Caenorhabditis elegans: one gene and its partners. The protein of the gene in region 2 interacts with the protein of the main gene of each other region in a pairwise test. Each region holds a gene or a part of one and is shown on either strand. Other genes may lie near its edges.

Evidence for each region.
Region 1: the proteins of drap-1 (region 2) and unc-130 interact in a two-hybrid assay, tested with the Caenorhabditis elegans proteins (one large-scale study listed by BioGRID).
Region 3: the proteins of drap-1 (region 2) and hat-1 interact in a two-hybrid assay, tested with the Caenorhabditis elegans proteins (one large-scale study listed by BioGRID).
Region 4: the proteins of drap-1 (region 2) and zip-12 interact in a two-hybrid assay, tested with the Caenorhabditis elegans proteins (one large-scale study listed by BioGRID).

The regions. Positions count from the first base shown.
Region 1 is NC_003280.10:11,278,785-11,286,300, reverse strand, and holds unc-130 (Forkhead box protein unc-130), read right to left. Parts: upstream 4,336-7,516; 5' UTR 4,307-4,335; coding exon 3,969-4,306; intron 3,535-3,968; coding exon 3,208-3,534; intron 2,968-3,207; coding exon 2,631-2,967; 3' UTR 2,342-2,630; downstream 1-2,341. UniProt on the Caenorhabditis elegans protein: Probable transcription factor. Binds to DNA sequence motif 5'-CTGTTTCA-3'.
Region 2 is NC_003283.11:9,730,107-9,737,608, reverse strand, and holds drap-1 (Transcription factor CBF/NF-Y/archaeal histone domain-containing protein), read right to left. Parts: upstream 5,651-7,502; 5' UTR 5,445-5,650; coding exon 5,372-5,444; intron 5,095-5,371; coding exon 4,853-5,094; intron 4,804-4,852; coding exon 4,180-4,803; intron 4,076-4,179; coding exon 4,019-4,075; 3' UTR 3,587-4,018; downstream 1-3,586. Other genes in the region: cal-7 (EF-hand domain-containing protein), read right to left, coding at 2,293-2,673, 3,305-3,372, 3,416-3,506.
Region 3 is NC_003281.10:10,402,881-10,410,639, reverse strand, and holds hat-1 (Histone acetyltransferase type B catalytic subunit), read left to right. Parts: upstream 1-3,391; 5' UTR 3,392-3,398; coding exon 3,399-3,480; intron 3,481-3,525; coding exon 3,526-3,946; intron 3,947-3,993; coding exon 3,994-4,053; intron 4,054-4,132; coding exon 4,133-4,805; 3' UTR 4,806-5,392; downstream 5,393-7,759. Other genes in the region: M03C11.3 (PH domain-containing protein), read right to left, coding at 1-394, 831-1,024, 1,511-1,639, 2,043-2,278, 2,353-2,377; ATP-dependent DNA helicase chl-1, read left to right, coding at 5,404-5,741, 5,803-5,905, 6,371-6,484, 7,278-7,759.
Region 4 is NC_003281.10:12,323,671-12,333,804, forward strand, and holds zip-12 (BZIP domain-containing protein), read left to right. Parts: upstream 1-3,996; 5' UTR 3,997-4,276; coding exon of another isoform or gene 4,277-4,315; intron 4,316-5,793; 5' UTR 5,794-5,794; coding exon 5,795-6,142; intron 6,143-6,902; coding exon 6,903-7,202; intron 7,203-7,994; coding exon 7,995-8,147; intron 8,148-8,370; coding exon 8,371-8,592; 3' UTR 8,593-8,604; downstream 8,605-10,134. Other genes in the region: Y75B8A.28 (uncharacterized protein), read left to right, coding at 1-49.

The DNA of each region.
Region 1 (7,516 bases), on a different chromosome or scaffold from region 2:
TTTTGAACTTCTTGGCGACCTAGTAGGCCTAGCCAGACATGTAGGCAGGCGGGTTGGCCTATTTTGGGCCTAGGAAAAAAGGGCCAAGCTCTAAGACTTATAAATAACTCTATCCCTTTTTTTGATATTGTACCTGCCTCGTGTACCTACTACCAATTTCCGCGTAAAAATTTTCCAATTGAATTTTCAGCATGTTGATATAAAGGTCACTATGTGATCTTCAAATGCCGTAGTTCCCACCTAAATGCAAAAAACCATCAGGCACGTAGGCAGGCAGGCTTGAGCCATTAGGATAACGTGCCTGCCATCCTTCATAACGCTATTAACAGACAAATCGGTCTGTAAGGAATATTTTATCGTGGAAAAAGTTATGGTAGACTGAAATTTTAACAAAATCCAGAAAAGATCTATTCGCCTTTAATCACACAGGTAAAAATCTCTGAAATAACTATAGTAGCAGGTCAATCTATCAACTCCCAATCATAATTTTGGCATTGCGAATAAACAATGGCCACCACGTAAACTAACAAACCAGTGCTAAAACGAGTGTACTGTATCAAAACTGATAACAAATTGTGCTACCCGATCACTTTCCTCCCCACTAACTCCTTGTTCTGCTACTGATTACCCCCAAATGTCCTCCACAAACACAGACACAAATTTTATGTGTTCACCCTTGCCAACAGAAGGTGTTACAAGTTTATGTATGTATATATGTCTCGATGGGTCCATTACCTAACAAGATGGTATTCAAATGCTCGGTTGCATAACAATCTGCTCACTTACTCCATGTCCTTGGCGTCTGCGTCTATAACACTTCACACGCTCTCTCACTGCCCAGTATCAGATGAATCTTTAAGTTGCGCCACCTCGACGACTTGTGTATGTCGCACCTTATAATTTGCGGATTAGCCGACGCACATTTTGTATGGAAATACTCTTGGCGGTTAGCCTTTTTTGGCTGGCTATTGTCCGGTACTTATCGTACTCACATCTTTATGCTCAACCTACTTGAAATAATCCTTGTTTTGTATATGAGCGGAGTAGTTGCAGGTGGTGATGGAGAGTTTTGCATTGTATGAGATAATTAGGATATTGGCACTTTTAAACACGGGTTACTGTAGCAGAGGCTCCTATATTTTGGCAACACCTTTTTCCTAACTATCTTATTTTTTCTATTAGCATTACACCCAATTGTTTGACTTTGAAAGCTTGTATCGGCTTTTTTCGTTGGTCCAATACAATTGATAACTCTAACTAGTTAGGTGCATACCATTAAAAAATACGGTATTTGTAATTACATTAATACAACCTAAGATACCGATTAGTATCAATTAAACGGTTCAAAATCTCATCGGGCCTGTCACCATGTGCCGTCAAACGAAACATGAGGTGGCATAAGGTGAAACTGCACCCCCACACACACTTCTCGATAATTTGATTTGACGTGGCAAACTGATGAATGAATTTGATAAGCAATATCCGTTTTGTATAGTTTGAATATACATATATACACTATGTATGGGTATCTAATTAGGATAGAAATGAAGACGACATGCTTGAGATAATTATATGGTTTGGCGGGAGTTCAAAAAGTCACCGAGTTAAACTAGGGTTTTGGTAATTAGGATAACATTTGAATAATCTTAGCATAGTTTTCAAAATGTTCATTTAATTGTTAGTATCATTATTTGCCCAAACAACAAGTAGCTTTATGTTGATTTAAATTATGGTTTTAATGGTTTTTATTCACAGAAAAGTAGGCATAGGTCGTCTTTTTAGAAATTCTATCTAGTCCAAAGGAGCCAGGTTATATGGAAAAATGAGGACTCTTGGAGGCTGAGGAACTCTGTCTGTGGCTAATATTCGCGTCCAGTTATATATCCATCTAATTTAGAAAAGTTAGGAAAAGGTAAGTTACGGTACTTTTCCTATTAGTACTGCACCCCTTCTGCTCTACTTTCAGATCTCTTATCTCGGCTGCTTTTGGTTTTATCACGAAAATTTCAACAGTAGAAATATTTTTCATATATGTTTCTATGATTTTACAGTTGAAAATGTTTTGTTAAAATTGAAGACAACCGAGATATGAGCTGCCAAAGTAGAGCAAATTTGGTGCAAGACTAATTGAAAAATTCGGTATGTTTTCTACTAAAAACCTAGTCTTCTGAACCCTGATTTTTTGTTGGATTCATGACATTTTGCAGACTAGTAACTCTGCAGCAGTCTTGTCACTTCCCTCCCTTATCAATTTCAGTCTTTTAATCGGCTCAGCAGCTTCTGCGGTCTCCTTTCATCTTACTGTTTGCTCAATTGATTAATGTGATTTTAACTTCAAAAATGCTGACGATGGACATATATATTTTCGAATTATTTACGACATAAGCTCTTTCACAGATAATGAAACAAAGAAAAAAAAGAAAAGGGAAGATCAGTTGAAGAAATGAAGTTGTGGTACCACGTGCAGGAGGATTAACAAAAAATTGATTATTGATTGCACGATTGAGATCAGGGGAAATGAAGAATGCTGAAAGGAATTGAAGGGGAACGGAAAAGGAACAAGAGACTAGAAAAGGTTAAGCAAATAGGAAACAATTGTTAAAAATTAAACAAGGAAATTGAGTGTTCTTCTAAGCGCTCAGTTTATCTGAAACTGCCGAAGATCCATTCTCATTTGGTGAGGAGCTCGATGAAGTTCTCTTCTGGCCAGAGCTGACTGGAGCATCCATTGGCATTATTCTCGAAGCCATCATTGACAAGAGCTTCTGGCTATCAATATTTTGTGGAATGAAGAACGCTGGCATGTTTGGAACTGCTCTTGGATTCATTGGATGTCCCAGCATGGGAATGTTAGCCATCGGGTGCATCATTCTTGGAGGAAAGGGCATTCCTTGCGGGAGGAATGGAGGGAATGGCATCGGATGATGGGACATCATTTCGTGATATGTGTCACTGTTTTTCTTGTATCTGAAATTATTAAGTGTTTGAATTGAAAATTTATCTCACTAATTCCCTTGTTAACCCCGAAAGTTTTCTTTTCCCAGGCTTCTCCACTACCCTCGAGGGTGCGATTAATGACAACAAATTGGTGACAAATTATCGAAACAACTGTCTTTTCCCTCTCTTCACATCTCGTATGTGTGCTCACCCCGCCGCCGGCTACTACTCCCCGTCAGGTTGTAATACTTTCTCCTGTGCTCCCCTTACCTCTTCCTTCTGCGCAGAAACGATCCATTGTCGAACATATCCTCACAGTTCGGATCCAGCGCCCAATAGTTTCCTTTTCCCGGATTCCCAGGCCCCCGAGCCACCTTCACAAAACAGTCGTTGAGGCTTAGGTTGTGACGAATCGAGTTCTGCCAGGCGGGGAACTTCTCCTTGTAATACTCGAACTTATTGATTATGAACTCGCAAATTTCCGAAAGTGTCAGTTTCTTCTCCGGTGAATTGAGAATTGACATCGCGATGAGTGCAATGTAGGAGTACGGTGGCTTTGCGTGACTGCTCTTTCGGTGACCAGACATTGATTTTCGACTGCAAAATTATAGAGTTACAGTTGTTTTACACAGTACATATTATTGTACATATCACTGTACATATTATAGGTATATTGCTCTACCTATTTCTCTACTTTGACAGCCAATATCTAGGTTTTTATTGGTCTCATCAAAAATTGTCAACTGACAAAATGCATGTAAATATATCTCTACATTTTTACAGTTAAACTTTTTTGGTAAGATTTAGGACAACCGAGATATAAACCGTCAAGTTAGAGTAAAGAGAATGCAAGTCATACAGGGAAAATACGGTAGTTGAACAATGTCTAATAGACTTAAAAATATCGGAGATCAAAGTTTCACAAAAATTGAGCATACAAACTTTTTGTATAAAAGGACCTAAAAGGTCGAGGTCGAGAAAAATCGAATTTCTTCTAAGATTCCTAAGTTTTTCCCAAGTTCCCAACTTACGATGTAGAATCATCATCGTCGTCATCATCCTTCGCATCATCAGATGAGCTATCTGCAGCACTTGAAGTTGAATGATTTCTTTTGTTTGCCTTCCGAACTGGAACGCCGTCTTCATCTTCCGTGGGCTCGTCTCCAAGAGACCGACTTCTTTTTCGGGACTCCCCAAACTTCAAATCATGTTCAAGAACCGACGCAGAAGTTGATGGCTCGGAGAGCCGTGTGTTGCTCCGCGGCAGATCAACCACTTGCTCATTGATTGTCACTTCCGGCTCTAGCTTCGGAGGTGGCTCCAGTTTTGGCTTGGTACTTGATAGAATTGATTCCATGGAAAAGAGCATTGTTACCGGTGTCTACCTAGTTAGTTTCTGCAAGTAAGTTGATGAAAAAATTATGAAAAAAAGTAAAACATAAAAAAGATAAGAAAAGCTAATATTTTCATAGCGTTATCAAAATTCAAAGCGAAATCGTAAGATAGAGATGGCATCGCGAGACACCAGACAATAATAATTATTAATAAAAATGTTATAATCGGATAGAAGGGGGAGGAGAGTAGGGGAGTACGGTAATCATGGATGAGGGAGCACTTGAGGGAGTACGGTAGGTAAGGGCAGATGATACCAATCCATTGTTGGCGAAACATTGAAACATACTAATGATTCTCAAGAGTACGTGGGGGGATAATAAGGGTATATCATTCTCATATTAATATAATATTTGTAGTACTATGCAGGGGTCCGAACTCGGTACTAGTAAGCTGTCAAAAAAAAGAGCAGGAGGAACACGAAAAGTTGAAAAGCAAAGCAAAGCTATCACTTTCAACAATATCAGTTATCTTAGTTAACACAAACAACATATCAAGTGTCTTCTAGCAGGATCAAATGAAAACGAGAGATGAGCTTCCAAGAGAAGAACAATTGAAAAATGACAGAGTGGTGTGGGAGCATCAGGAGAGAGAAAGAAAGCTCCGAGATTACTGTAGATTTATGACGGGCGGACATGTGTTAGCGCAAACTTTTTTTGTGTGTGTAGGTATGTGTTGAAATGAAGAAGTCGAAAAAAATATATCAAAAGCAAGTTGCGGACGAGGACTGGGAGACAAGTTGTAAATGATGAAAAGCACGGAGGTGGTTTTTTGGAAGAGTACATACAGTACAGGTTTCAAGATTTTTGATTCTTCAGTTTTTAAGTGGAACTTTAGGATTTGAAAGGAGCGGGGCATTGATTAGAAGTTTTGGCACAAAAAGAGAATAGTATCAATATGAGAAGCAATTAAAAAATTTAAAAAAAGAGTTTCACCTCTTCTGCTCAAAATATTTAAATTTCAATTTAGGTACCAGTTAATTTTTTGAAAAAAAAATTCAGAAAATGTGAGCAATTCTCTAAAATGGTGAAAACTCTGTAAAAAATTCAAAACTATGCGAATTTGTAAACCGGAAAACCCACTATTTTCCTATTTGACTTGCATGCACCTTGCTCTTCTTTGACAGCTTATATCTCGATTCTCTCTGGTTCTATCAAAAAATTGTCAACTTACAAACTATGGAAAAATTATTTTTCTACATTATGACAGTTAAAATTTTTTTGATAAAACTTGGGACAACCGAGATATGAGCAAAATGAATGCTAGGGAAAATACGGTATAATTTTTTTTAAATAAAAAACTTGCAAAAATCGAATAAAATTTGTTTCAAGTTTTTGAATGTTTTATGTAGTTTTGAAGCAAAAGTTTTAATTTGAATGGTGAGAAATATTAATAATCATAAATTTGACAGTGATGAACAACAGATAAAAATTTTCATTTTTTGAAACGCGGCGTTTTGCCTCTTTTGGCAGAAGTAATATTATTGGTAACCAATAAAAAGTATTAGATAACAATTTAGATTTAGAGTTTACGGGATTTATAAGGAGCACAACAAGGAGCACAACAACAATAATAACAATAATAATAAAGACAAAGATCAAGTGAAGCACAAGAAATCAGGTGAAATAGGTACAGAATGATACCCAACCTAAATCCAACTATTAGTTCTAATAATAATATTTTTGCCTGATCCACTGATTCTTCCGTTTTGGTGTCATAGTCACAAAAAGCGAATAAACGAAAGAAAACACCGGTAATTGGACCGCCCCGCCCCACGCTCATTGGACACGCGGCTCCGCCCACACGCTCGCCCCTCCGCCGCTCGAAACTGAGAATCATCACTGATGACAGGGTGAATTTAGAGAGAGAGAGAAAGAGAAAATGATACTAATATATAATAATTATATCATTGTGATCAACCACTACTCAGATCTATGTAGATCATACTCAATTTTAAATCGACTAATTCTGGGTGGCATTCTCCCAATTATCAATTTGTAAATAGAGAATAGACAATCAAAAGACAAATATGTTTTCGTTAAAGAACCTGTCGGCAAATTTATGAGGGAATCATGAGGTAATCCAACTTTCTCGGTTATCAGCTAGGTGGTAACTATTACAAAGGCCACACACAAATAGACACACAGGCTCGGTTGAGACGGTCATTTCATCTTTCTGATAAGAAGATTGGCAGTGGGAAGGAACGCATTAATTGTGTGTGTGTTACTTAATAAATGTTTATGGGGTGCCGGTGGTCTTACCACGAAAGTTTTGCGATTTTGTTCCTACTCGGAAGACTGAGGTGTTACGTGAAGGGGAGGATCCTCGCCCCACTGGCTCCCAACCAAAAGTATGCGTGCAAATTTACGTGGGGCGTTTTCCGGGAAAAAAGCGGTCGTCAGTCGTGCCTATAGAAATTCTAACAGTGACAAAAAATAATCAGAGCCAAAATAGAAGAGTAGCTCCTCGAATAGCTCTCGAATAGCATAAAAGGAACTCGAATAGCATAAAAATATGATCGCAAGTAACTAAAGGACGCGTTTTCCGGCGAGACATGAGACCAGTTGGGCTCTTCGATATTCTACCCAAGGTATTTTAATAAATAATTAGAACCATTTTAGACAAAAAGTACAAAATTAGCTTCTAATATTCAAGCCCTGATCAAATCGGCAGGTGCCATATAACATCGGCGTAGACGTAATGAACACTGATACTTTCCTAATGGACAGGCCTACCTCATACCTACCTACACCCAAAGCTTGTTGAACATTGTGCTCAAAAACCAACTTTTTTTTTTGCAAAATGACTACAAACAAGTTTTTCACGTGTTTTTATATTTTTTTCACAAAACCAAAATCTTGAGTTATTTTTTATTATTTTTAGAATTGAAAGAACTCAGAAATCAGGTTAACCACTCTAGGATCAGTTTTCAGTAAAATGTTCAAAATCACCCATGTTTGAGTAGCAAAAGTTCAAACCCAATTTCATTGCCATTTGCAATTACCCCCTATTGAATGAGACGCATTATTTCAGGACAGAATGATAGCGGTAATCAATGGAGATTGGCTATAAATTTGGGTAGGGAACTGCCCATCCCCCCCAAACACTAGTTTATTGTTATTGCACTTGTTATTGGGGGATCAGGTAAAACTTGCAAACGACATTTCTTCTAAAACTGATTTCCGCT
Region 2 (7,502 bases):
GAAATAGTTTCAAATGCAAAACGTGGAGGCGGGGCTCTGACTTAACGCTCATTATCATGATGATAAGTGTCTCGTATTGTTGGGAAAAAGTGAGGCGGTTTGCTGCCAATTGTACCTTAGTGATAATCAAGAGGGCGCAACTGAAAAAGCATAATCAAATGACTTCTTACCACACCTATAGGTGGTGCAAATTTATATTAAATATTAATAGCCTCGGAGTGAGAGAAACAATTTTTTTTCTAGAATGGAATGTGTGGAATTGGTTTGTGATCTGCGTACTAAAAGTGTGAAATAGAACAGTGTTTTAGGTCAAGCGGTTTAGAGTCTTTACGTCATTAGAAAAGAAGTTCCTTTTCAAACAATTTTTAATGGAAAATGAGTTAAGCTGATATAATCGGTAAGAAGATACTGGCACCGGAAAAGGCTGGCTCGTTGAGCAAAGCACAAACATAACGACAATGAGAAACAATTGAACGACATAAATGACAGACAAAACGTGCGGGGAAGTATTTAAAATCATAATGATTTGGTATTAAAGACAAAGATTTAAACATTTTGAAATTCAGCTAATACATTGTGTACAACAATTTTTTTTGGAATACGTTGATGTTTTTTTTACTGAAACTAACTTGGAACTTGTTTTTTTAACATGGTAAATATGTAGGATGAAAAGATGACACCAATTTAAAATCCAAAGTTAGAAAAATATCTTCCTTACATTTTTTTAACAGTTTTTTTGCGACCAGCCTGCATAATATTTTTTTAATATTGCAGAAAAGCTACACTTTTTTAGTTTCAGTTATTTAATTGATTTGCTTTTTTCTATGCTCCAAATTTGCTGGTCAACTCATTTTGACCATTTTGACTAATTTTTCGATAGCTTTATTATTTCTAGTTTGTTACTTTAATTCCTATTTCAAGTCATCGTCAACAATACTGACCTCCAAAGAATTGAATTTTCGATGATTTTACTATAACCTTTCAAAGAAAAATATATTGTCATCATACCCGTACAAAACTTGAACTTTTAACCATACTACACACTATTTCCCGTCAAATGGAGTTATCATCGAATTCTTCAAATTTCGACGCCGTTTTTTAATGTGACAATGAGCTAGAGGCTTATCACGGATTATTTATAGAACGCTGTGCATCAACTGATAACCGAACAGACTGAAATATTGATGAATGGGTCTAAATATGAATTGGATTTTCTCCCTATTTGCACCAAGATCGACTGTAATATGTGTAGATATTTTATTTTAAGTTGCTCTAAATGACCAGAGAGTTTAGACCAAAACGACTAAGAATATATAAATTGAGGAACATTTAGGAAAAGTAATTTATATTATTTTATTTATATTTCTTGGCATAAAATGTATTTAAATAAAAACAGTCCGTGTCCAGTTTTGAGAGATTGCACCGATTTTTTTTCTAATTAGAAAAGTGGTTTATATGTAGAGATTTTTGAACTATGCAATGATTGCAGTTGATCTGATAAATAACACACGAGTAGTCCGTGTTTCAATTTGCTGTTAGTCTTTCTGAAAACGTGGCAATTATAACCTTGAAGGATCTTTAGTGCCAAAAAACCTTTGTGTTGCTCCCCTGTAGAACACAAACTAATTGGTAATTTTTTGCTTAACAAATAAAGTTGTCATGCTCTTTAGAGGCCCAACAAAAAGGAGGGCTGATATGTGCAATTGTGGTTTTGAAAACTTTGCAGTCACGCACGGCCTGAAATTCTGGGGACAACGGGCTCACGATGTATTTAAAACATTGACGAGTTAGCTTCTTGTATTGTTTAAAATTATCCGTCTGCAACATATTAAACGATTTTCAGACATTTCCATCACCGAAAAGACATATTCGTATTATAATAGATACTGATTATCCGTAGGTAATGATAATTTGATCGTCAACGCCCTAAGGTACATCGTTGAATCACTTTTATTCATGTCTAGTTTTGATATGGAAAGTTGTTCAACTCATCATAAAGTTACGATTACCAGTGATCCAAAAGAAAGTGTGTCACAAGGTTATAACTAGAAGTGTAAGTGGGTCTGTGAAAATGTTATTTTTCTGAGAACAAGGCCATGTCCAAAGGGTTTGCAACTAAATTCAGACGGTACGCAAGATTTGAAACGTACATATCTTAATTTTCTGGAAAATTTGCTCTCTTGGCTTTAGTTTCCAACAAAGTTGGGATGGTTGAAGGCATCCACGTTTATGAAGATTTATAGAAATTTTCCAAAAAAAAAAGTGATAATCCTTACAACTAAAATTAAAGATTTAATCTCTAGAAGTAATCATTTCGCAAGTGTCTTTAACATACGAAACCCAGTCAATATCTCCATTTGCTCGAATGCTGACATGATTCAGAAATTGCTTAACTTCTTGTGGAGTCAATGGTTCTCCAATTGAAGTGAGCAATTGCAATAATGTATCTTTTTGAACATAATTATTAGATGTTATTACTTGAAATGCAGCATGGATTTGTTTCGGAGTATCATCTTTCCATTCTTCATTTTGAATTGCCAATACGACACGGGGCAGAAGGTCATCGAATGAAACTCTTCCATTTTTCTTTGCAGTTTGTTCACTGACCAATTGCAATTCCGTTTGACTGGGGTTCAATCCAAAGCTTCGGAGAACGTGACTCACATCGTCGGTCTGGAATTTCAGTTTAAGAAAGATTTAAAAGATTCAGTGGAGACATTTTAAAGATTCAGTGGATTTAAAAGATTCAGTGGAGGTCCATAATAGCCGAATATCATAATAAAACTCTCCAAAAAGTATTTCGACTTTTGAAAAATTTGAGTCAGTTTTTACCAAATTTTTCAAAAAATGTGAACTTTTTGAGATATTTCATGCATTGGCGCGGGTTTGAATCTCTAAACTGTTACAATAAAAATAACCAAAACAATACTAGAATATCGAAAACAAAGAAAACCTATAGAGATGCAAATTGAGTTTTCAACGAATATCAATAAGAAATTTTCAGCTATAGGTACAACTTTTATATTGACGACGCTCCTACTAATTGGAAGAGCCAGGAGAAACATTTAAGAGTTTATGAAGTATGAAAAATAACTTCATGCACTCGAGGCGTGTTCGCCTCTTCACTCACCCTACTGAAGGGCGCGAGGAAGGCGAGTGGGAAGGCGGGAATAGGCTCCCCGTGACGCCTACACTAGGTGGAATGTCTATTTGATCCGGTTCTTAATGATATAAATGAGTAGAAAGTTGGAGAAAAGCACCACGTGAAAAGCCAAGTTTCAACAGTAACTACAGTAATCCTCACTTCAATCAAACCATCAGAATCCTCGTCAAACATCTTGAATACATCGAAAAGACGACGTCGAATATCTTCTGAACTTCCTTTTTTGTTTAAATTGGACAAAATATTACAAACCAACAATTACAGAATCTACTTCTTCTTTTTGGCTCTCATTTTCCCCTTCTTCTTCAATGTTTAATAAATCTTCATCTTCGCTCAGATCCATAATTTAGCTGAATACTAATATAATGTAGATCGCTCTAGTTGTTGCGCGAGTTTAGTGGTCTTTTCTGTCGGAAATATACGTTTTCTGGTTGAATAATTTTTATATTAAATACTACAAAAACGGAAATTGAATTCTAAAGCATGACAAATATAAAAATGAAGAGAAAAATTGAATTAGAGAGACAAAGAGCAAAACAAGTTAAACATATGACAGAGAACATTTGGAAGGTTTAATGAAAAGCGACGAGCATCCTGATTTATGAAGGTGTGGGTCGGTAATGGTTCATATTGGGAGAACATCGAAGTGATTAAATTTTGATTTGCCAGTGAACGACAAAAAATGAATAAAACAAGAGAAATAGAGAATAGGGTAGACCCGGTGAGGATTTGTTTTTTTTTTCTTAACTTGGAGCAATAGAAAAGGAGAAATTTAGATCAGAAATGGAGGGCAACGAGACCATTGAAAAGTACACGATTAGGAGAAGAATAAAATTTCTCATAGAGAAGTGAGGATCACGGACGGCCAATAGGCAGTGCTGGAGGAGGCATCAACTCGCGATCCTTGTCTTCCTGAAAATGATAATTTTGCTTTAGATCAAAAGGATCACAGAACCGTAAATCAAATTACATCTTTAGAACATTTTGATTCTATGTCTAAACTTTTCAAATATTACCTTGGCTATATTCCTAGAAGCTTCCTCGTAGAGATCATCATCAATACATTTTTCAGGTTTTAACTTCTTTGGGCGTCCTCGCTTTGGTCTGTCTTCTCCATCACCATCAGTAGATGCTCGTTTTAATCCTGTGAGACGTTGTCCTTCAGAATCTTTTTTCGAGTATTTGAGCATTCCTAGCATACCATTTACGAGTTGAGTTGTCGGAGTGCTAGGAGAAAGTGGTACGGTGGCTGTGAGTTCTTGAACTACTGGATAATTGGATGGAATCCCTTGAAGATAAAGTGGAAGTGGTGCTGCTGGGGATTGCGGATCAACTAAATAAGGAGAAATAGTTCCATCTTCTTGTTTCAATGCTTGTTGATCCATTTGCATCATTTGCATCTGCGCATTGGCAAGAATTGCACTAGCAAAATCTGAATTTTGTTGCTCTTGGAGCATTTGCTGTCCTCTCAATGTCATGCCGGTACGTGCAGTATTCAATTCAGATGCTTGCTGTGGAAGTGCAACATCTTTGAAGACTGATTCTAGAAATGAAAAGTGTGGAGTGTTGAGAACCGCCTGCTTCATGTGTTGAGGGTTTAGCGTCTTTGAAGATGTGAATTGAGTAGCTTCTGCGGCAGCCTCAAATATATATTCAAGGTTCAAAATAACTATGACTGAGTCTTCTCACCTGTAAAAACTTCTCCGCAAAATGCTCCATTGCTCTTCCGATGCTGACAGGAACTGACTGAACCATTCTTCCGATATCCTCATCACTTTGCATAACCTTCTTTATGCGTGTTGGCTGAATTTTTGCAGTGCTGAAACGACGTCTTCGGATCACAGCAGCTGCCTGTTGCTGCTGTTGGTTGCTGCTACCTGTTGATGATGAAGCACCGGCTGATGAAGTGGATGCCAACGTTGACATTTTTTCTGAAAAATAAATTTAAATAACGATTTGATCCTAATCTGTTAATTCTTAGATATTACATCTACAAATTGTTTTAAGTCGCATATTTTTTGAAGTTTCTAGATAGTTCATGATCCAGAAATGATGCCGGATACTGACGGTTTTACCCAAAACAAATTAAGGGTTTTTGAAAATAAATAAGCTTTCATTTTAAGATTTTATGAATGTACGTTTTCCGATTATCTATAATCGAGTTTCTTTTTTGTTCCATCCACCCTAAAAGATAAGGTCAAAACTAACGAGTAGCCGATGCATAATTGACGGGTAACATCGGCACCGCAAAGCCAACATCGCTTCCTCTATTCTGATCCATCTTGTTTTCTCCTCTCTCGAAATATGTATTCTCTGGTTTCCTTCCAAAAGTGTCAGTGTCTCCGACGGAAACGTTGCTGACGAGAGAAGACGATGTTGTGGAGATTTGGAGGCACAAAATGAGAGAGAGAAAGAACGAACAACGGGTGGTTTTCGAGAGATATAGAACTATTCCGAAGACGTCATCGATGATGGGCCTGAGACTAACTGAAAGTTGGAAGCTACTGTATAATACTCTTGAGGTAAAGCGATGAAATGAGAGATTATTGAACCATGAAAGAAGGACATGATGTTTCATTCATAGAAGCTCTCTTAACAACTTTGGAAAAGACATTTAGAGCCCATGAATAATCAACGCAAACTTTTTTTTCTAAAATTAATGGTCACTATTTGATATTGATTGGAATTATTAAAATATTCTGTGCTCAGTAACAAAGGGATTCAGATAATTAGATTTTGTTATATTTCATTTCCCGTTAGAGCAACTCCGTTTCGCAACAAGTGTGTTATGTTCTATATGTTCTGTATGTACACAGCCGTTCGGGTCTCATCGATCACTATAACAATATAGATCATCACATCAGTACAACAATTGATAACAAAAAAGAGGCGTGATGGTATCTTCCTTTTTTCTATTTCTCGCTTTCATTTTGGTTATTTCATTCTTTAATGATAACGCCATTTATTCCATTCTGCGTCGTGTCGATTCGATTCGATGTCAACGCACACACACACACTTACACATCTACTGGCCAGGACTGGAGGAGAGCGCGTAAAGACGAGTGATTGAGCGCTTCGGTGAGGAGACGAGAGAATCTAAGGGAAATAGTGTATAAAGAGGAGATAGAAGGGGGAAAAACGGAGAATAGGAGCAGAAAGGCGCTGGCCGATCACACGCAGACCTCGCGTTCTTCCCTCCTTTATATACAGCGGACAAATCGGTGATTCGCAGGTCTGCGCGACTACGGTACCCGCTGCTTGTTCTGCGTCTCCACGTGTCGTTTCACTACCTTTTCCCCCTTTTATTTAGCGTGCGCCCGCGCCGCGCCGATGTTTGAGAGTCTTTGATGCAGCTGTACGGGCCGAGATGAGAGGGAAGAGAAGATGAGAGAAGCAGAGAGTTGAGGGAAAGAACATAGACTCCTCCTCCGCATACTCGATTTGTATGTTTTTGTGTGGACAGACGGACAGATGGATAGATGGCTGATTTGTCAGCTTGCCGTCGAATTATTGATTGTTCTTTTGTGAAGCAAAGTCGAGATATTGAAATGATGAAATTATCTTAACTGTTCAGTATTTGCATAAAGAATTATTGAACGGATATTTTTGCAATTGTTGCCTATGAGGTGATTGAGATCTTTTTGCGAATTTTTATTCTCCAATTTACTAGAAAAAAAACTTAGAGGCAAATTTGCGCAAACATTTTTAAGTTCAGACCAGGATGGGCGGCAAAAGAACATTTTCGGCAAATATATTGATCGACATTGATCAAGTTAAAAATTTGGCCAAATGTCTTGTGCACATTTAAAATATTTTGAAAAAAATCTACAAATGAAAGAAAATTTAATTCGTACAGCAGTGAAGTTTTTGTGGCAAAAGATTTATCTAATTTTTCTTTGTATATTAACTTATAAAAATTTACAGATTTTCAGATTTTCTTCTTGGATATGAACATTTTTAGAGAATTTTCAATTTCCCAGCAATCGGCATTTTTGGAAATTGATGAATTGATGAACTTTCGATAACTCAGTATTTTCCGCAATTGTTTAACTGTCAAAATAGCGAAATTGGAATTGTCGCCCAGCTGGTTCAGACTACTTAGAATTAATAGAAAATGTGATATCTTTTCAGAAAAAAAAATCAGAAATTCAGTCGACGATTGAATTCAACATTGTTTTTCGGAAAGAACGAAATTGAACACGAATTTACTATTTAATTATGCAGAGTTTTTTAGTTTATCGATTTTCAATATTAAATTTTAACCAATAAAAGAACTCACCAGTGACAATTGGCTGCTGCTGAAGTCTCAAATGGCTTTCACGTCGTCGAAGTATCTGAA
Region 3 (7,759 bases), on a different chromosome or scaffold from region 2:
TCTATCGGGCTCCGAAGAGCATTCTATCAACGTTTGCATTGAAAATGGCATTCCCTCAGTGTGAAGTGTTCCTCGATGCTTCCTGAGTAATATCGATGTCTGTGTATGCGAGAGACCTTCAGTTTGTGGTAGTAAATGCACATAATCCGGTCCACGAGACTTTATTATTCTATCCACCAGAGCTCGTCGTCGCGTCATCTCGTGATCCTTTCGACCGCTTCCACCCAATGGAGAAGCTAACGAGCTCGGCGGTCGACTTGTCGATGTGTTCGGGGCTCGTTGAGCTCCAGGAGGAAGATTTCGGAAGGATAAGGGATTCGTGAATTGACTGTTGGATTTGTTGCGACCCATTAGGCTTGGTGATGATGGTGCAGAGTCTCCAGATGACATTCTCCTGCAAAAATTGACACAATTTTCGCAGCCTTTGGGTTTTTTTTCTCGTATTAGAAAATTCAAGAAGCTTCACAGAGGCCGGTAGTTTTTATGAAATTTATTGTAAAATTTCAGAAAATCGCAGATTAAACTCATAATTCTACACGTTTAAGAATTTTCGATCATTTTTGGTAGATTTTAATTCTCAAGAAGTGGAAAATGCTTTTTAAAAATGCGCGGAAACCAGTATGAAATTGTTTTTTTTTGCTATAAAATTTCTTAAAACCACATTTTTTCAGAAATCAGCGGATTTTGTGGAATTTAATGTAAAATATAGAAAATCGAAAGCTTTTCCAAAAAATCAAAATTTTTTTTGAAATTACTGTCGACACTTTTGGCACTTTTTTAAACATTTCCGCAACAAAACGGCTATTTTTTTTTTGAAAAAAAAAACTCACTGATATCCATTATGCAAATTTCCAGCAGGACTCAACAGCACCTGCGTATTCGTGTTACTCGGCGGTCCCATGATAATTGGTGCTCGCTGAGCCACACGAATTGTCGGTTGTGGATAAGGTTTTTTTCGTGCTGTTGTACCGCCGTGGGATCCATTGCTTGATGGTTGTTCAGAGTCGCGGAAATTTGTTGAGGTCTGGAAATTAATGAGAATTCACGAACAGCCGGTTTAAATTTTGAAATACGGCTTTAATTTAAAAAAAAGGATTTCTCAGGTATTCTCTTGATATTTTTTCAGCCATTTTTTAAATGATTTTCACCAAAAACTTCGAAATTCAATTTTCATCATGAAAATGTCGAAATTTGTCAACGTTTTTACTCTAAAAATCAAGAAAAATCCTTTTTTTAACCTATTCGTGCAGATATCTACAGAAAATAATGAAATTTTCAGAGTTTCAGTCATTTTTATTATTAAAAACCTCGATTTTTAAAATTCTACAGGTTTTCCATGAATTTTCGCAATTTTTAAAATTTTCTCCGAAAAAAATTATCAAATATTCAATTTTAATCTATTTTTACAGATATTGTTGGAAAATTATGAATTTTTTCATAGTTTTTCAAGAGAAGTCGCCTAAAAAGCTGAAATTGAGCAAGTTTTCGAGATTTTTCACAAAAAACTCACCAAATTCGGCTTCGTGTACTCGTTGACATTTATGTGTAACGGAGAGAGTGTTTGACTGGTTGGAACACCGACAGACGTCGATGCGACAAATGATGACTTTAGTTGAGCTTCTGACGCTGCAGCGGCGGCCTGAAAATTGAGAAATTGAGAAAAACAATAGGAAAATCGATTAAAATGTGCATTCATACATGTTTTTAATAAGTTTTTTTTACAAAATCGTTTTTAAAAATCTATTTAATGGAAAAATTAGTTTCAAAACATGTTTCTAATATATTTTTTCGACTAAATTAAATTAAAATCATGTTTTGATACATTTTATCGAGAAATTAGGTTAAAATCATTTTTAAAATTCTTTTTTTTTGACAAAATTGGTTGGAAATCATGTTTTTAGATTTTTTGGACAAAATTAGATTAAAACCTTTTTTAATCCATTTTTTCAACAAAACTAACTTAAAATTTAATTTTTATTTTATTTCTCCACAAAATCAGTTAGAAATCCAGTTTCTAGGGTTAAAAAACGCCAATTTTTTACCTCAATCTCTCGTTCATCGTCATTTGTATCACGTTGCTCAACAAATTGCGATAATCCTCCTCCATTTGAAGAAGAAGACGACGCATCGAACAATGAACGATCATGTTCCATACCAGGGAACGAGTGATGTGAGGCAGGAATTGTGCCACCTATTATCACCATACAATCCGATGGGATACTTCTGCTGATGTTGCTCGTATTTGAAAACGTTGTTGGTCCGAGGTTTTCCTTCAATTCTGATATGGATTAGAGGACATTTCACATGGAAAATCCGTGAAATTTCAGAAATTTTCAGTGGAATTTAATTTACCTGTTCTTGTCGAACGCTCATGCATTATTTGATGGTCTTCCCATCAACTTGTTGCTTGGAATCTTCTGAAAATTCGATTTTTTAAAAATGATTTTTGACAATTTTGAGCGGATTTGTGAGAGAAAATTCGATTGAAAAAAAATATTTTTACATTAAAACCGTTGAAAAAACCAATTCTTTTTGATATTTTTCAAAAAATTCCAATGAAATTTGGTTGTTTTCAACAAAAATATAACGGAAAAATGGTAAAATAGCAAAACTTTTATATAAATAGGAAAAATTTATAAATTTTGCGATGAAAAATCTCACAACGAGTTTTAAAAAACTTAATTTCTGATTTTAACAAAGTTTTAATTGAACAAAACAACAAAAATTCTCGAAAATCCGCCGAACTATGGAAATTAACTCTTTTTTATCTAATTATCGTGAGAAAACCGCGAAACCCGGGCAATTAGAGCAAAATAATGCGGTTTTGCGCCATTTTTCACAATAAAAATGAGACATTTTACGGGGAAAACGCTTGAAATTCGATATTTTTGTTTGTTTATAATTTTTATGATGCAACTAAACTTCACGAATCAACTTGATCAATCAATTTATCCGTTTTGGGATGAAAATTCCGGGAGATAAGCGAAAAATTTCTGAAAAATCGATAAAAATTCACCCGGAGGCGTGAAAAACAGCACGGATCCATCAGAAGATCCCTGGCAACGTGCCAACTCGCACGGCGTATTTCGAAAAAAGCGCGACGAGAGAGTGTGTGGCCGTGAGAGACGCGCGACACTCAGACAGTCGGAGAGAACGCCATCTCTTATGAGAGGTTGCGAAAGTCAACGGGTCTCGCCGCGAAGAGACACTTTTGTGTCGATTTACGAAGTGAGAAAGCCCGCGGGAAACTTTTTTAAATTTTATTCTTTTATTTTCGTCGGAATTCCTTCATTTTTTCTCATTTTCCACGCAAAATCGGTAAATAAATTGATTAAATATCGTCTTGTTTCGCGATTTTCAAGGTTCAATGGCGTTTTCAACTCTTTAACAGTTTCAGCATGGTTATGGAGGACGTCACGAATGTCAATCGCAATCGGAGATACATTTCCGACGGACTTGCTGTCGTTAAAATGACATTTTGTAAGAGTTTAACCGAATTTTCGCTTGAAAGTTCCCATTTTTCAGTAAAAAACATGCAAGAAATCAGTACTGCGCCACGCTACGAACCAGAGATGGTCTATCAGCATTTCGGAGATGAGGAGACAATCTTCGGCTACGAAGATCTCGAGGTTACCATCCATCACACAGCTCAAACCCTCTACAGCTACATAAACGTGAGCTATTCCTCAAAAGCGAAAAACGAAAACGGACTGGAGGCCGATGACGTCATTGATAAGCTGGTTCATCCAGACGTTCGTCCGAATGTTCTGGTTTCGGGAAAAGAAGAATTCCAGCAGAAGCTCATCAAACAGAAGGATTTCAAGCCTTTCGGTGAGATGGTACACAAGTTTGAGCTGAAAGGAAAGAGCTACGAGGTCTACAAAGTCGCCGAGCAAACCGAAGAGTTCAACCTTTTCCTAGAAAGAATCCAGACTCTCGGCATGTTGTGAGTGCTTAAAAAATAAGGATTTTCCTACAAAATTTTTTTTTCAGCTTCATCGAGTGCTGCTCACTGACAGATAACACTGAAGACAATTGGCTTCACTATTTTATGTAAGTTGAGAAGATTTCGCGGCGAATTCCAGAAATTACAAAAAATCGAACGCATTTCAAATATTTTTCAATTTTCCAGCTACGAACGCTGCGACACCGGTGAAGGAGATGGAAGTACTGTGGCCAACGTGGCTGGCTACGCGACACTCTTCAAATTCTACAACTACATTGACAGGATCCGTCCACGAATTGCACAGATGCTATTGCTCCCTCAATACAGAAAATCTGGAATTGGAGCCAGTTTCATGGAATCTTTCCTGCGAGATCTTCGTGCCTCTCCAGAAGTTTTCGACGTAACCGTCGAGTCTCCCGGAGATCAGTTCGTCAGCCTCCGTGACTATGTGGATTGTGTCAACTGCATGACACTGCGGGAATTTGCACCGGAGAATCTCAAGAGGGGATACTCGGACAAAATGCGTCAGGCCGCACTGGAAAAGCTCAAGATTTCCAGACAACAAGCCCGTCGAGTCTATGAAATTTTGCGTTATCGTGCTACAAATAAGAAGGATAAAGAAGAGCTGAAAGCGCAGAGAATCGATGTGAAACGTCGGTTGTATGCACCAATGAAGAAATCGGATCAGGACTGGAAGCGTCTGAATCTCGCGTTGACACCCGATGAGCTTCGACAAGCGGCCTGTGGACAAATGGATGAGGAAACCAAGTTCTCGACGCTCTCACAGAATTATGATCGGCTTATGGAGGCCTATCAAAAAACTATTGATCGAATTGAGCAGCATCCAAGCATTTTTTAATCGTTGTATCTGTATCTTATTTTAATTTGAAATTACATGTGGGATTTTTGTATTTTTTTTAAAGCTAATTACCACGAAATTCGTCTAAATTTGCTGTAAATTTGCAAAATTCCCTTGCCGTTATTACCCATACGCGAAATTTTGCGCCAAAAGTACGGTATCCGGTCTCGAAGAGAAAAATGTATGATAAATGCGAAAAAGTGTGCGCCTTTAACGATTTTTATCAGGTTTTCATAGTTTTTCCCAGCATTTGTTAAAGTTTTTTTGGGTTTTGATTGTGATCTACGAAAAATCGACGAAAATCCGCAATAGCAAAAGTTTGAAGCTACAGTACTCTTTAAAGGCGCACAAATTTTCGCGTTTAACAAACATGTTTCGTTGCGAGACCAGGCACCGTATTTTTGGCGTGAAAATCGCTTTGGGTCCTATTTGACTTATTGTGAATGTTTCATGAATTTTTCCGCTCTCTAAACTCTCAGCTAAAAATCGAATTCCCAGTTGAAAATCCCGAATATATTTTTATCTTCTTATATATTATTCTTCAATTACAAAAAAAAAACTCACCGAAATAAATGATCTCTCACTCTATCCCAGCAGAATGGACGAATTCTCATTTCCATTTCAACCATACGACATTCAACTCAATTTGATGCGAGAAATCCGCCAATGCATTGAACAACGGAAAATTGGCATTTTCGAATCTCCAACAGGCACCGGAAAGTCGCTCAGCGTGTTGTGCTCGACGATGACGTGGCTGGAAGCTGAAGAACTACGAATTTCGACTGATTTGAGCACACGGCTCGGGGAGGTTCACACGAAAATCACGGAATGCGATAAAATCACCACCGCCGACAATTGGGAGACGGCAGTTCGTGAGAAAATGCGAGCTCAAGACGTAGAGACGGAGATTTTGGAGCAAATTCAGAGTCGGGAAAGGTGTTGGAAATTGAATAATTATTCTTTTTTAATTTTTTTTTAAATGAAAAAAATCATTCAGATTGCAGTCACGAATCGATCAAGCCCGGCGAGGAATGGTCGAGGTCTCCAGAAAGAGAAAAGCCCCGGCCAGGGATACGGATCAGTTTCTCGAACCTCAAGATGTAATAATTGAACTTTTATCCGGAAATTCACATGTGGCTGACCGTTTTTTCGGAAAATTTCAAGATTTCTGACTAGAACCTGGCTTTTTTTTTCTGGAAAAACCTTGAAATACGCAAAAATTCCAAATTTTTAAATACAAACCTTCAGTATTGCTAATTTTTTGAGAAATGTGAAAAAATGTTAACAGTATTATATAGCAAGATAGATATAGAATAGATTCCACAATATGAATAGATACACAATAGAATAGTTACATAGTAATACATAGAATAGACACTTGATGCCTCACTTTAAAGGCGCACGCTGTTTTCTGAGTGGGTCTCGCCACGATCCCAGCCACAGTAGTCGCTACAAATTTGAAGTTTCATAAATTGAATATGCCAGGTTTTCAAGAAAATGTTATTCTAGAAGTTTCTATTATAGAAATAATACAGAAATATCAAAATTCAAAATAAAATTTCCAGGAAGCCGCCCCATCGGAAGAATACAATAACGACGAGAAAAGTGAGAAACAGCGGGATTCCGATTTTTTCGATGATGTCGATGAAGAAGAGGAGAAGCCACTGAAATGTCTGAAAGTACAGAATTTATTTCAATATTTCGGAAAGTGCAATCGCGCTCCATAGCCAAATGAAAGTGCAATTCAAACTTTTTCAAGCATTTTTGTGACAGTAACTGTATATCATTAAAAATTGGAAAATCTTGGGTTTTACCGCCAATACCTAACGAGACCCATGTTTCGGGGGCAGAGCGTTTTTATTTTTTATTTGGCTATGGAGCGCGATTGCACTTTCATCTCAAAAGTCGCATATAGCTGTCATATTATTACAGGAACAAAAAATTCTTAGAATGCGTATTGGGCAACATATTTGACGCGCAAAATATTCCGACGCGAAAACTACAGTAATCCTTTGGATGACTACTGTAGCGCTTGTGTCGATTTACGGGCAATATTTTTGAAATTAATTTCTTTTCAAAAAGTTACAACGGCTCTCAATTTTCTTTAATTTTTCGTTTTTAAAAATCAATAAATAAAAGGTTTTTGTAAATCGACACAGGAGCTACAACAGCAATTTAGAGGATTACTGTAGTTTTCGCTTTGAGATATTTTGCGCGTCAAATATGTTGCCCAATACGCATTCTCAGAGTTTCGTGTTACCGTAATACGTCTTTTTTTTTTTTAATGAAAGTTGTCTGAAAAAAATAATCGAAATTAAGTCGGAGAATTTTCAATTTACCGAACAAATTTTTTTAAATGAAAATTTGGTTTTTTTGTAAATTTTCAAAACTGCATTAAAATTTTTTTAATTGAAAACTGAAAAATCAATAATTTTTTATTCAAACTGTCTTGAAATTTTCTGAATTTTCCAGATTTTCTACGCATCACGAACACATTCTCAATTGGAGCAACTTGCCGAGGAGCTCGCAAAAACTAGATTTCAACCCAGAATAGTTACATGTGCCTCACGAGGAACATTATGTGTAAATGAAGAAGTCAAAAAGTTGAAATTAAATCATTTAATCAATGAAAAATGTATGGAATTGCGAAAAAACGGAATGTCGGAAAAGGAAAAAGTTCAGAAATTGGAGAAAGGAACCACGAAAAAGACAAAAACCTGTGCGACTTCATGCGAATTCTACAATTCCACACAAATCGAAGATGTAGTGAATGGAGTCCTCTCGAACAAATTGAAAAGTACACTTGAAGTGTCAAAACAGGGAAAACTTTCCAATGGATGCCCATATTTTGCTACAAGAAAATCTGTTCCACAGTGTCAACTTGTTCTTCTTCCATATCAAGTTTTGCTTCATGATGGAACACGAAAAGCATGGGGAATTGAATTAAAGGATAA
Region 4 (10,134 bases), on a different chromosome or scaffold from region 2:
GATGATACAATTTCAGGAGCTCCGCAATATTATTTTCAATCCGGGATAATTTTTGGATAACGTTTTTCTGAATTGTGGCGTGTGTGCACAGATTTCAAAAAAAAAATTTAGGCTTACTCTATGAAATCTGTGCAAACATTTTAATTTATTCATTATTTTTTGTATTTATATTGCATTTTTAATAAAATTTATAGTTTTTCCCTGCTTGATGAACTTTAATGAATTTAGGAAACTAGGATTAGTTTTTTTAATTTTCCAAAAAAGGGAGCAGCGGCAGAGCAGGTTCTGCCATGTTACGAAAGTTTTGAAATTGTCAAAAAAAAATCTGTACGAACAGTAAAACAAAATAGTTTATATCAGTGGAAAACATATACAAATTTCAAAGAAATTTAATATTGGAATTTTTGTTCAAAATTTGTAGATCAATAGAAGTATTTTCTTCAAATTTGAAAAAAGCCTTACAGCTGTGTAATATGTTTTTTTTCACTTTCTTTAAGTTAAACCAGTGGGAAAATTATTAAAAGCCCCTTTAATTGTGCCCAAAAAACAAAAAAAAATTTATTTCGTTTCAAAAAGTGGTAATTATTCCAATTGAAAATTTCCGGAAAATCGGAAAGTTGCCGGAATTGAAAATGCCCGGCAAATTGGTAAATCGGCAAGTTGCCGAAATTGAAAATTTCCGGAAAATCGGCAAATTGTCTGAAATGAAAGTGCCCGGCAAATTGGCAAATCAGCAAGTTGCTGGAATTGAAAATTTCCGGAAAATCGGCAAATCGGCAAATTGCCGGAATTTAAATTTCCGGAAAATAGGTAAATCTGCAAGTTGCCGGAATTGAAATTTCCGGCAAATTGGTAAATGGACAACTTGCCGGAATTGAACTTTCCGGCAAATTCGGCAATTTGCAAGTTGCCGGAATTGAAAATTTTTGATAAATCGGCAAATTTCCGGGATTGAAAATGCCCGGCAAATTGGTAAATCGGCAAATTGCTGGAATTGGAAATATCCGGCAAATCGACAAACCGGCGAATTGCCGATTTGTCGGAAAAAGGGCCAAATTGTGACTTTGCACTTTTTTTTTTGGAAATTACAGAATTTCAATTTTTATCGGAAAAATTGCACGCATCCTATGGATGTTCATACATCTAGTTTGAAAAGTCAGTAAATTCTATGAAAATATCTGAAGAAGATGGGAAAAAAATTTCAAAAAAAGCACAGTTTTAAGTCTTTTAAACAAATCCCTTTAAAAGCTTCCGGCAAATTGAACTTCGGCAAACGGCAAATTTTCGGAATTGAAAATGCCCGGCAAATTGGTAAATCGGCAAATCGCCGGAATTGAAAATTTCCGGCAAATTGGCAAACCGGCAATTTGCCGATAGGCAGGCGTCAGGCCGTAAAACCGCGCCTGCCTACCGTGGGAGCCCTAGGTGCTACTCCACCTTAATTTTTTTTGTTTGAAAAAACAGTTTTTAGACAGTTTTAAAACGCTATAACTTGGCTGATTTTTTGGAAATTAAAATTTCATGTTTTTTCAAATTAATGTAATTTCAATTTGGAGTTACTTTTTTCCTAAAAATCTGAAAATTCCTTCATACTCTCAAACCATGATGCAACTCAGTTTTCCGACCCTTTTGTGCATTTCGTTCAACAATATCAATTCCGTTGCTCTGCCATCATGAACGAAACTGCTCAGAAGACTCCTTCTATACACAGTGACACGTCATTGACTTATCATCACGTCTAGAATGTCTGTGTCTCTTGATTAAACATGTACTTTCACCACATAAAAACGGACAAACATGTCTATCTTAGCAGGAAAGACTGGGGCAAAAGACGCGGTGATTATTGTGTGACAGACAAGCAGAGAAATTGTTTCTCAACTTTTATCAGTTAGGTATCATATTATCACATTTGTTGGGGCATCAACTTGTTACTTGCATTTGGAATGGGCAGTGAGTTGAGTAGAAAAGTGAACATACAAGTTCAGAAACTTCAGGATTTTCACAGGTGCAATTTGCCGATTTACCAATTTGCCGGGCATTTCCAATTCCGGCAATTTGCCGGTTTGACAATTTGCCGTAATATGAATTTGCCGGAAGTGTGTAGAGGGATTTTTTATAAGAAGGAAACACTTAAAACCGTGCCTTAAAGAATTGTTTCCCATTTTCTTCAGATATATTCATAGAATTTACGGACTTTCCAAAATAGATGAAGGGTCATTTCTAGGGTGTGTACAATTTTGCCAATCAAAATTGAAATTCTGAAATTTCCAAAACAAAATTTGCTAAACCACAATTTGGCCGTTTTTCTGGCAAATCGGCAATTCGCCGGTTTGCCGATTTGACGGACATTTTCAATTCCGACAACTTGCCGATTTTCCGGAAATTTGCATGGGCCGCTATTTTTGATAAATTTAGTGAATTCTAGAAAAAAAACTGGAAAACTGGATGCAATATGATAATAAAACTTGATGAAAAAAAGCTTTTTTAGGTTGGTCAATCTATAAAATATTGAAATTCCTATTAAAACGAAAGATTTTGAAAACTAGTTTTCCTACTACTAAAGATTACTTCACCCTTTAAATTTAAAAAACTGAAAAGTCCTCGAAAATTTTTTTAAAGGTTTACATTTTTTTTCGAGCAGTTTCAACTTCCAGATAAACTTTCAGCACTTTTTCAGTTTTTCCAATCCAAATTATAGTTGTTTTCAATCAAATCAAATACTTTTCTATACTTTATCATTAAATGTAGACTTGGAAAACACATTTCAAATCGGCAAGTTGCTGGAATTAAAAATTTCCGGCAAATCGGCAAATCGGCAAAATGTCTTTTTGCCGAATTGGCCAGAAAAACGGCAATTGCCGGATTTGAAAATTTACAGCATATCGGCAAATTGGCAAATCGTCTATTTGCCGGATTGAAAAACTGCAATAGCCGGAAATTTTTGTCAAAATAAAAAAGCAAGTTCTATGAAAATATCTAAACATAACAGGAAACGAATTTTTCAAAAAGGCACAGTTTTAAGTGTTTCCGTCTTTAAAAAAACCCCTCTAAAAATTTCCGGCAAATCTGATATCCGGCAAATGGCAACTCGGCAAATTGCCGTAATTTTTTTTTGGCAAATCAGAAAATTGCCGGAACTGAAAATTCCTGGAAAATCGGCAAATTGTCGTAACTGAAAATTTCCGGCAAATCGGCAAATTGCCGGAACTGAACGTTTCCGACAAATCGGCAATTTGTCTAAAACAAAAATTTCCGGCAAACCGGCAAATTGTCGAAAATGAAAATTTCCACTTCAACAATGAAACATTTTTCCTGTAGGCTTCAGACAAAAATTATATTTCGTCCTTTAATCCTTTTTTAATCAGGTTTCACTTCACTGTGAATCTAATGAATTATATTATTAAAACTGAAAATTCCGAGAATTCATTTGGATAAATTCTAAAATCAGGGTTTCAACTACCAAAATATTACATGGATTCTGCTCAAGAATACATTGTTCTTCATTTTTTCAAACCTTTCTCGAGCCACAGAACCGCTTTTGCTACATGTCCTGGAAAGATTTATCTTTCATTTTTCGCTGTAATGCTTCATTGTAATGCTTCATTGCGTCCCATTTCGGTTTGATCTACAAAAATTGCGGGGAAAGAGACGCAGAGTTCTCAACTGATTTTGCATGGTTAAGAACGTGCTGACGTCACATATTTTTGGGCGAAAAATTCCCGCATTTTTTGTAGATCAAACCGTAATGGGACAGCCTAGCACCACGTGATGCTTCTGAAATTTGGTTTTGGAATGGGTTTCTATAGATACCTTTTTTCAGCTTTTGATATGCCTTTCCAACCCATTTTTATACAATATAATACCTAATTAATCTGTCAATTGCATTTACATCCATCGAATGTACAATTGCGATGTATTGGAAATTACAGCAATCAGTGCCCATCCCCCATCAACAGTCTCTTATCAATCTTGCTAATCACCTTCACTGTCCCCCCCCCCCCCCACTGTCTCAACCACTGCTCAGATACCAAGTATGTCGCACAGTATTTCCTACTCTGTTTTCTCTAAGGCTCTCACATCTTTCCTCTGACTATTTCTCATTTTTTTGATGCTGCCCTCCTCCTCTATTCAATACAATCAAACGATGTCATGATGCAGGCAAACATCATGCATTCACTGTCTTCACTCTTCTTAGCAAGAAGTTGTGTTCTCTTATCACACACACACACACACACACACTGTCTCCCCCACCATTGGTCTCTTGCCTTTTTTTTGACTGACAACGACGATTTTGAATCTAAGGAACTGGGGATAGGTATGTTTTGAAATTTTGGTTAGGAAAATATGGAAGGATCAAGCTCCGCCCTTGATGATTACTGTAGATTCCTGAATGCATCAGTGAGTTCACGATGGGCATCAGGGCTCTTACATTAGGGGCCAAATTGCCGAAGTTCCGAAGTTTCCGCAACCAGAAGCTGCCGGTTGCAGAAACTTTGGCAATTGCCGGTTGCTGGCGACGTGTATGTATATCTCGCGTCCAAAACAGGGTGGGTGGCAATTGTCGTTTGGCGAAATCGGCAAGTCGGCAATTTGCCGGAATAAAAAATTACCGGCAAATCGGCAAATTGCCGGAATTAAAAATTTCCGGTAAATTGGCAAATTGCCGGAATTAACTATTTCCGGCAAATCGGGCATATCGGCAAATTGCCGGAATTAAAAATTTCCGGCAAATCGGAAAATTGCCGGAATTAACTATTTCCGGCAAATCGGGCATATCGGCAAATTGCCGGAATTAAAATTTCCGGCAAATCGGAAAATTGCCGGAATTAACTATTTCCGGCAAATCGGGCATATCGGCAAATTGCCGGAATTGAAAACTTCCGGAAAATCAGCAATATGTCGAAACTGAAATTTCCTTTAAATCGGTAAAATGCCGGAATTAAAATTCCCGGATGATCGGACAAATCGGCAAATTGCCGGACCTAAAAATTACCGGTAAATTGCCGGAATTAAAAAATTCCGGTAAATTGGCAAATTGCCGGAATTAACTATTTCCGGCAAATCGGGCATATCGGCAAATTGCCGGAATTAAAATTTCCGGCAAATCGGAAAATTGCCGGAATTGAAATTTCCTTTAAATCGGTAAAATGCCGGAATTAAAATTCCCGGATGATCGGACAAATCGGCAAATTGCCGGACCTAAAAATTACCGGTAAATTGCCGGAATTAAAAATTTCCGGCAAATCGGCAAAATGCCGGAACTGAAAATTTCCGGAAAATCGGCAAATTGCCGGAATTAAAATTTCCGGAAGATCGGTAAATTGCCGGAATTGAAATTTCCGGCAAATCGGGCAAATCCGCAAATTGCAGGAATTAAAAATTTCCGCCAAATCGGAAAAGCGGCAAACTGTCGATTTGCCGAAATTTCCGGAAAAACGCCTTTTGCCGAAAATGTTTGGCAAATTATGATTTTGCACTTTTTTTTTGGAAATTTCAAAATTTCAATTTTAATCGGCAAACTTTTTTCCTACATTAATGTTGAAAAATCCCTTTTAAAATTTCTGGCAAATCGGCAATTTGCCGAAAATCAAAATTTCTGGCAAATCGGCAAAATTAGTGTTTTGATAAGAATCAGCAAACTTTCTCATAAGTTCGTTACAAAAACAGTCGCGAACCAATAAGCGAAAGACGAGGAACCAATAAGCGAAAGACGATGCGAAAAATTTTTTAAAATGCACAATTGGGCCTGGCCCGAAAGTTTCAGACAAGACCAAAAAATTCCAAATTTTACAGAATGAATAACGAAACAAGTGGCAGTCGTGACATGATTCTAAAACACTTTGACTCCACGCAAAACAACCAGAATTCGGTAAAGCTGGAACACGAGTCGTCAGATAACAATGAATCGTCAGGCTCCCAGAACTTTGTATTCAACTTTTTAATGAGCCAACTGCAAAACATGGGTCCAGTGGAGATAAAACAAGAAGTAGAGGCGAAGATGTTGGATGATATAGAAGATGAGTACACTGATAATAATTACAATGAAGGCTACTCAAAGATGGATACAGATGGGGATTTGGAGTGGGAAGAGGAATTTAAGAAATTGAATAAAGATCCGAGTAAGATGGACAAGAGAGAACAGGTTTGTGTGGATTTTTTACAACTTCTAGTACAAAATTTAGGTTAGATGTACATGCCCGCCTAACGCCTATTTTTTGTAGTGTAGAAAAAGATTTGTTATATCTGAAAATAATTTCCAAATTTTTCTGAAAAGCCTCACTCAAATCAGGATAGCAATTGGGGCTCAGCAAATTTTTTTGTCGACGAATTTGGCAAATCGGCAAATTGATGGTTTGCCGATTTGCAAAAAATTATGATTTCCGGCAAAAAAAAACTGCCGATTTGCCGTTTGCCGGAAGTTTTCAATTCCGAAAATGTACCGATTTTCCGATTTGCCGGAAGCTTTAAATTCCGGCAGTTTGCTGATTTGCCGATTTGCTGGAAGTTTTCAATTCCTGAAACTTACCGATTTGCCGGAAATTTTCAATTCCATCGATTTTGCCGATTTGCCGGAAATTTTCAATTCCATCAATTTGCCGATTTGCCGGAAATTTTCAATTCCGGCAATTTTTCGATTTCCCAATTTTGCCCGAAAAAAATTTGCCGGAAAATTTGATTTTCAGCAAAAAAAAAATGCCGATTTGCCGGAAATTTTGCTTTTCCGCAATAAAACTGCCGATCTGCCGGAATTTTGATTTTCGGCAAAAAACTGCCGATTTGCCGGAATTTTGATTTTCGACAAAAAATGCCGATTTGCTGGAAATTTCAATATCGGCAATTTGCCAATTTGCCGGAAATTTCAACTTTGGCAAGAATATCAATTTTAAATCCAAATTATTCAGGAACGTCACCGTCAAATGGCCAAAAACCGTGAGTACGCCCGAAAGTGTGTTCAAAAGAAAAAAGATCAACGAAAGCATGCGGAAATTCGAAGTAATCAAATCAAAAAACGCATTCAACTTCTCAAAAATAAAACGGCGATAAAAGAGAAAAATGCGAATTTTGCAGTGGATTTGAGAAAAATGATGTCAGAAATTGGAGTAGAACGGCTGAAATTGGAATATGAAAATGAGAAAATGGAATTGAATAAGAAGTTTGCTGAAATGTTTGCACAGGATGAAACTGTTAATTTGAATTTTCATGTAGGTTTTTTCTCTAAATTTCAAAAAAAAAGTGACCAATTTGCCGAAAATTTATTTTGCCGGTTAGCCGATTTGCCAGAAATTTTCAATTCCGGCAATTTGTCGATTTGCCGGAAATTTTCAACTCCTGAAGTTTGACGATTTGCGGAAATTTTCAATTTACCGATTTGCCGGAATTTTTCAATTCCGGCAATTTGCCGATTTGCCGGGAATTTTCAATAACGGCAATTTTCCGATTTGCCAGAAATTATAAATTCCGGCAATATGCCGATTTGCCGGAAACTTTCAATACCGGCAATTTGTTGATTTGTCGAATTGCTGGAAATTTTTCAATTCCTGCAATTTGCCGATTTGCCGGAAATTTTCAATTCCATCAGTTTGCCGATTTGCCGGAAGTTTTCAATTTGCCGATTTGCCGGAAATTTTCAATTTGCCGGTTTGCCGGAATTTTTCAATTTGCCGTTTTGCCGAAAATTTTCAATTTGCCGATTTGCCGGAATTTTTCAATTTGCCGATTTGCCGATTTGTCAAAAAAATAGCGAATAAATAAAAAAGTCCTACTTTAGTTTGAGTTTTTTCAAAAATGCAAAACTGAGAACTGCGACCAATCAGCGATTTGCTCCGCCCACTTTTCCACCAATCAGATCGAGTGGGCGTAGTTCAAAGATGGTGATTGGTCGGGGAGTTCTCCTTAGTTTGTAAATCCCGTTTTTAAACTTTTTTTGTGGAATTTCTGAATTTCCGACTTTTTCTTTTGAAAAGTCAATTTTAAAATTATTAACCAAATTATAGAGGCTCGCCAGTGCTCGAGAAGAATTTGAAAAAGCTGCTGAAGACCTACGTCTAAAAAACGGAGTAATTGGGACTTTAGGTTCCCGAAAAATCCGAGCAAAGCAGCAAATGGAGTGGAGACAGCATTTGTATCAAATATCTGCACATGAACATGTTCGTTTATATAAATTCTTACCTGAAACAGTCAAAATGAAGAAAATCCCGTTAACTGAAACATTGGGGAGAATGCTCAAAAATTGGCCTAAATTAGCCTAAAGTTCTAGTTGAAAAAAATTTTATTTCGAGACGAATCATGTAATTTTAGTTCATTTTTTAGAATTTCCCAATAAAATTGTAAATTTTTCCAGAATATTTTTTTAAAAATAACTTATTACAGGAGCATCATCGTGAGACAAAACTTGCCGAGTTGGCAGACGAATATGTTAAGCAAACGGTACCAAAAGCTGCTCCCCTAGTCACCTCAATTCCTAAAGACATGTTAGATCAACTAATTAAAAACAATAAAACTTTGGATTTGGAAGAGCTGTGCCGTTTTGTTGCTGATAATTTGTGTTTGTTACAAAATGATAATGATGATAAAGAATCTGTTGTTAAATAAATTATGGAATTTATCCGATGGTTGTACTTTTTGAAAATGTGTTCTTATTCATTTATTCTCCTTGTAGTCTAAATATTTTTGCCGGAATGGAACATTTCCGGCAAGTTCGGCGAACCGGCAATTTGCCGGACTGGATATTTTCTGACAAGTTAGGCAAACCGGCAATTTTTCGGAATGGAAATTTTCTGTCAAACCAGCAAATTGCCGAATTTGTAAATTTCCGGCAAATCGACAAATTGCCGGAATTGAAATTTCCGGCAATTCGGCAATTTGACGGAAAGGAAAATTTCCGGCAAGTGCGGCAAATCGGCAATTTGCCGGAAAAAAACACTTCGGCAAGTTGTGGGTTTGCAAGTTTATTTTCTGGAAATTTCAGAATTTCAAAACGATAATCGCAACATTGCCATAATTGAATTTTCTGGCAAGTTAGGCAAACCGGCAATTTTTCGGAATGGAAATTTTCTGACAAGTTAGGTGAACCGGCAATTTTTCGGAATGGAAATTTTCTGGCAAGTTTGGCAAACCGGCAATTTTTCGGAATGGAAATTTTCTGGCAAGTTTGGCAAACAGGCAATTTTTCGGAATGGAAATTTTCTGACAAGTTAGGCAAACCGGCAATTTTTCGGAATGGAAATTTTCTGGCAAGTTAGGCAAACCGGCAATTTTTCGGAATGGAAATTTTCTGGCAAACCAGCAAATTGCCGAATTTGTAAATTTCCGGCAAATCGACAAATTGCCGGAATTGAAATTTCCGGCAAATCGATAAATTGCCGGAATTGAAAATTTCCGGCAAATCGATAGATTGCCGGAATTGAAAATTTCCGGCAAATCGATAGATTGCCGGAATTGAAAATTTCCGGCAAATCGATAAATTGCCGGAATTAAAAATTTCCAGCAAACCGGCAAACTGGCAATTCGCCGATTTGCCAAATTTACCGAACTTTTAGTGCTGGCGCGTTTCCTCAGTACAAAATCGACACTCAATTATTTACAAAAAAAAAAATTTTGCTGATAAAAAGGGAGTATAAATATCACCTTAGGCAAGTATCAAATCCAGTCGGCTTCTTGCCTGATTCCTGCGTAATTTGGTCAGTCGGGATTTTGTATGAATATTCTTCTAATAGGTAAACGTAACCGAATATTGTTTTAAAAAAGGCCAAAAAAAAACTCCTTTCCTTTTAAAAACTCTCATTTTGTCGAATTAGTTTGTGATTCCGTGTTCCCCGATTTCGAGAGTTTATGGAAGCTAAAAGGTTAAAAGTCGTTTCGAGACGCAAAAATCTAGAAATATGATTTAATTTTGAAAATTTTAAATTCTAAAGTTATAAAAATAATTTATTCCCTGCGTTTTTCGATATTTTAGTTCACTTTTTGTACGAAAAGTTTCGCATTTCTGCTTCTCTGAGGTAAAAAAAGTTAAGTCAGTAAGTGCGCTCCATCGACAAAAATGGTTTTTTAACTGAAAAATGTGTTTTTTCTCCTTTAAAATTGAATTTTTTACAGGAAAATCAAATTTTGGATACTTCAAAAGGAAAAAAATAG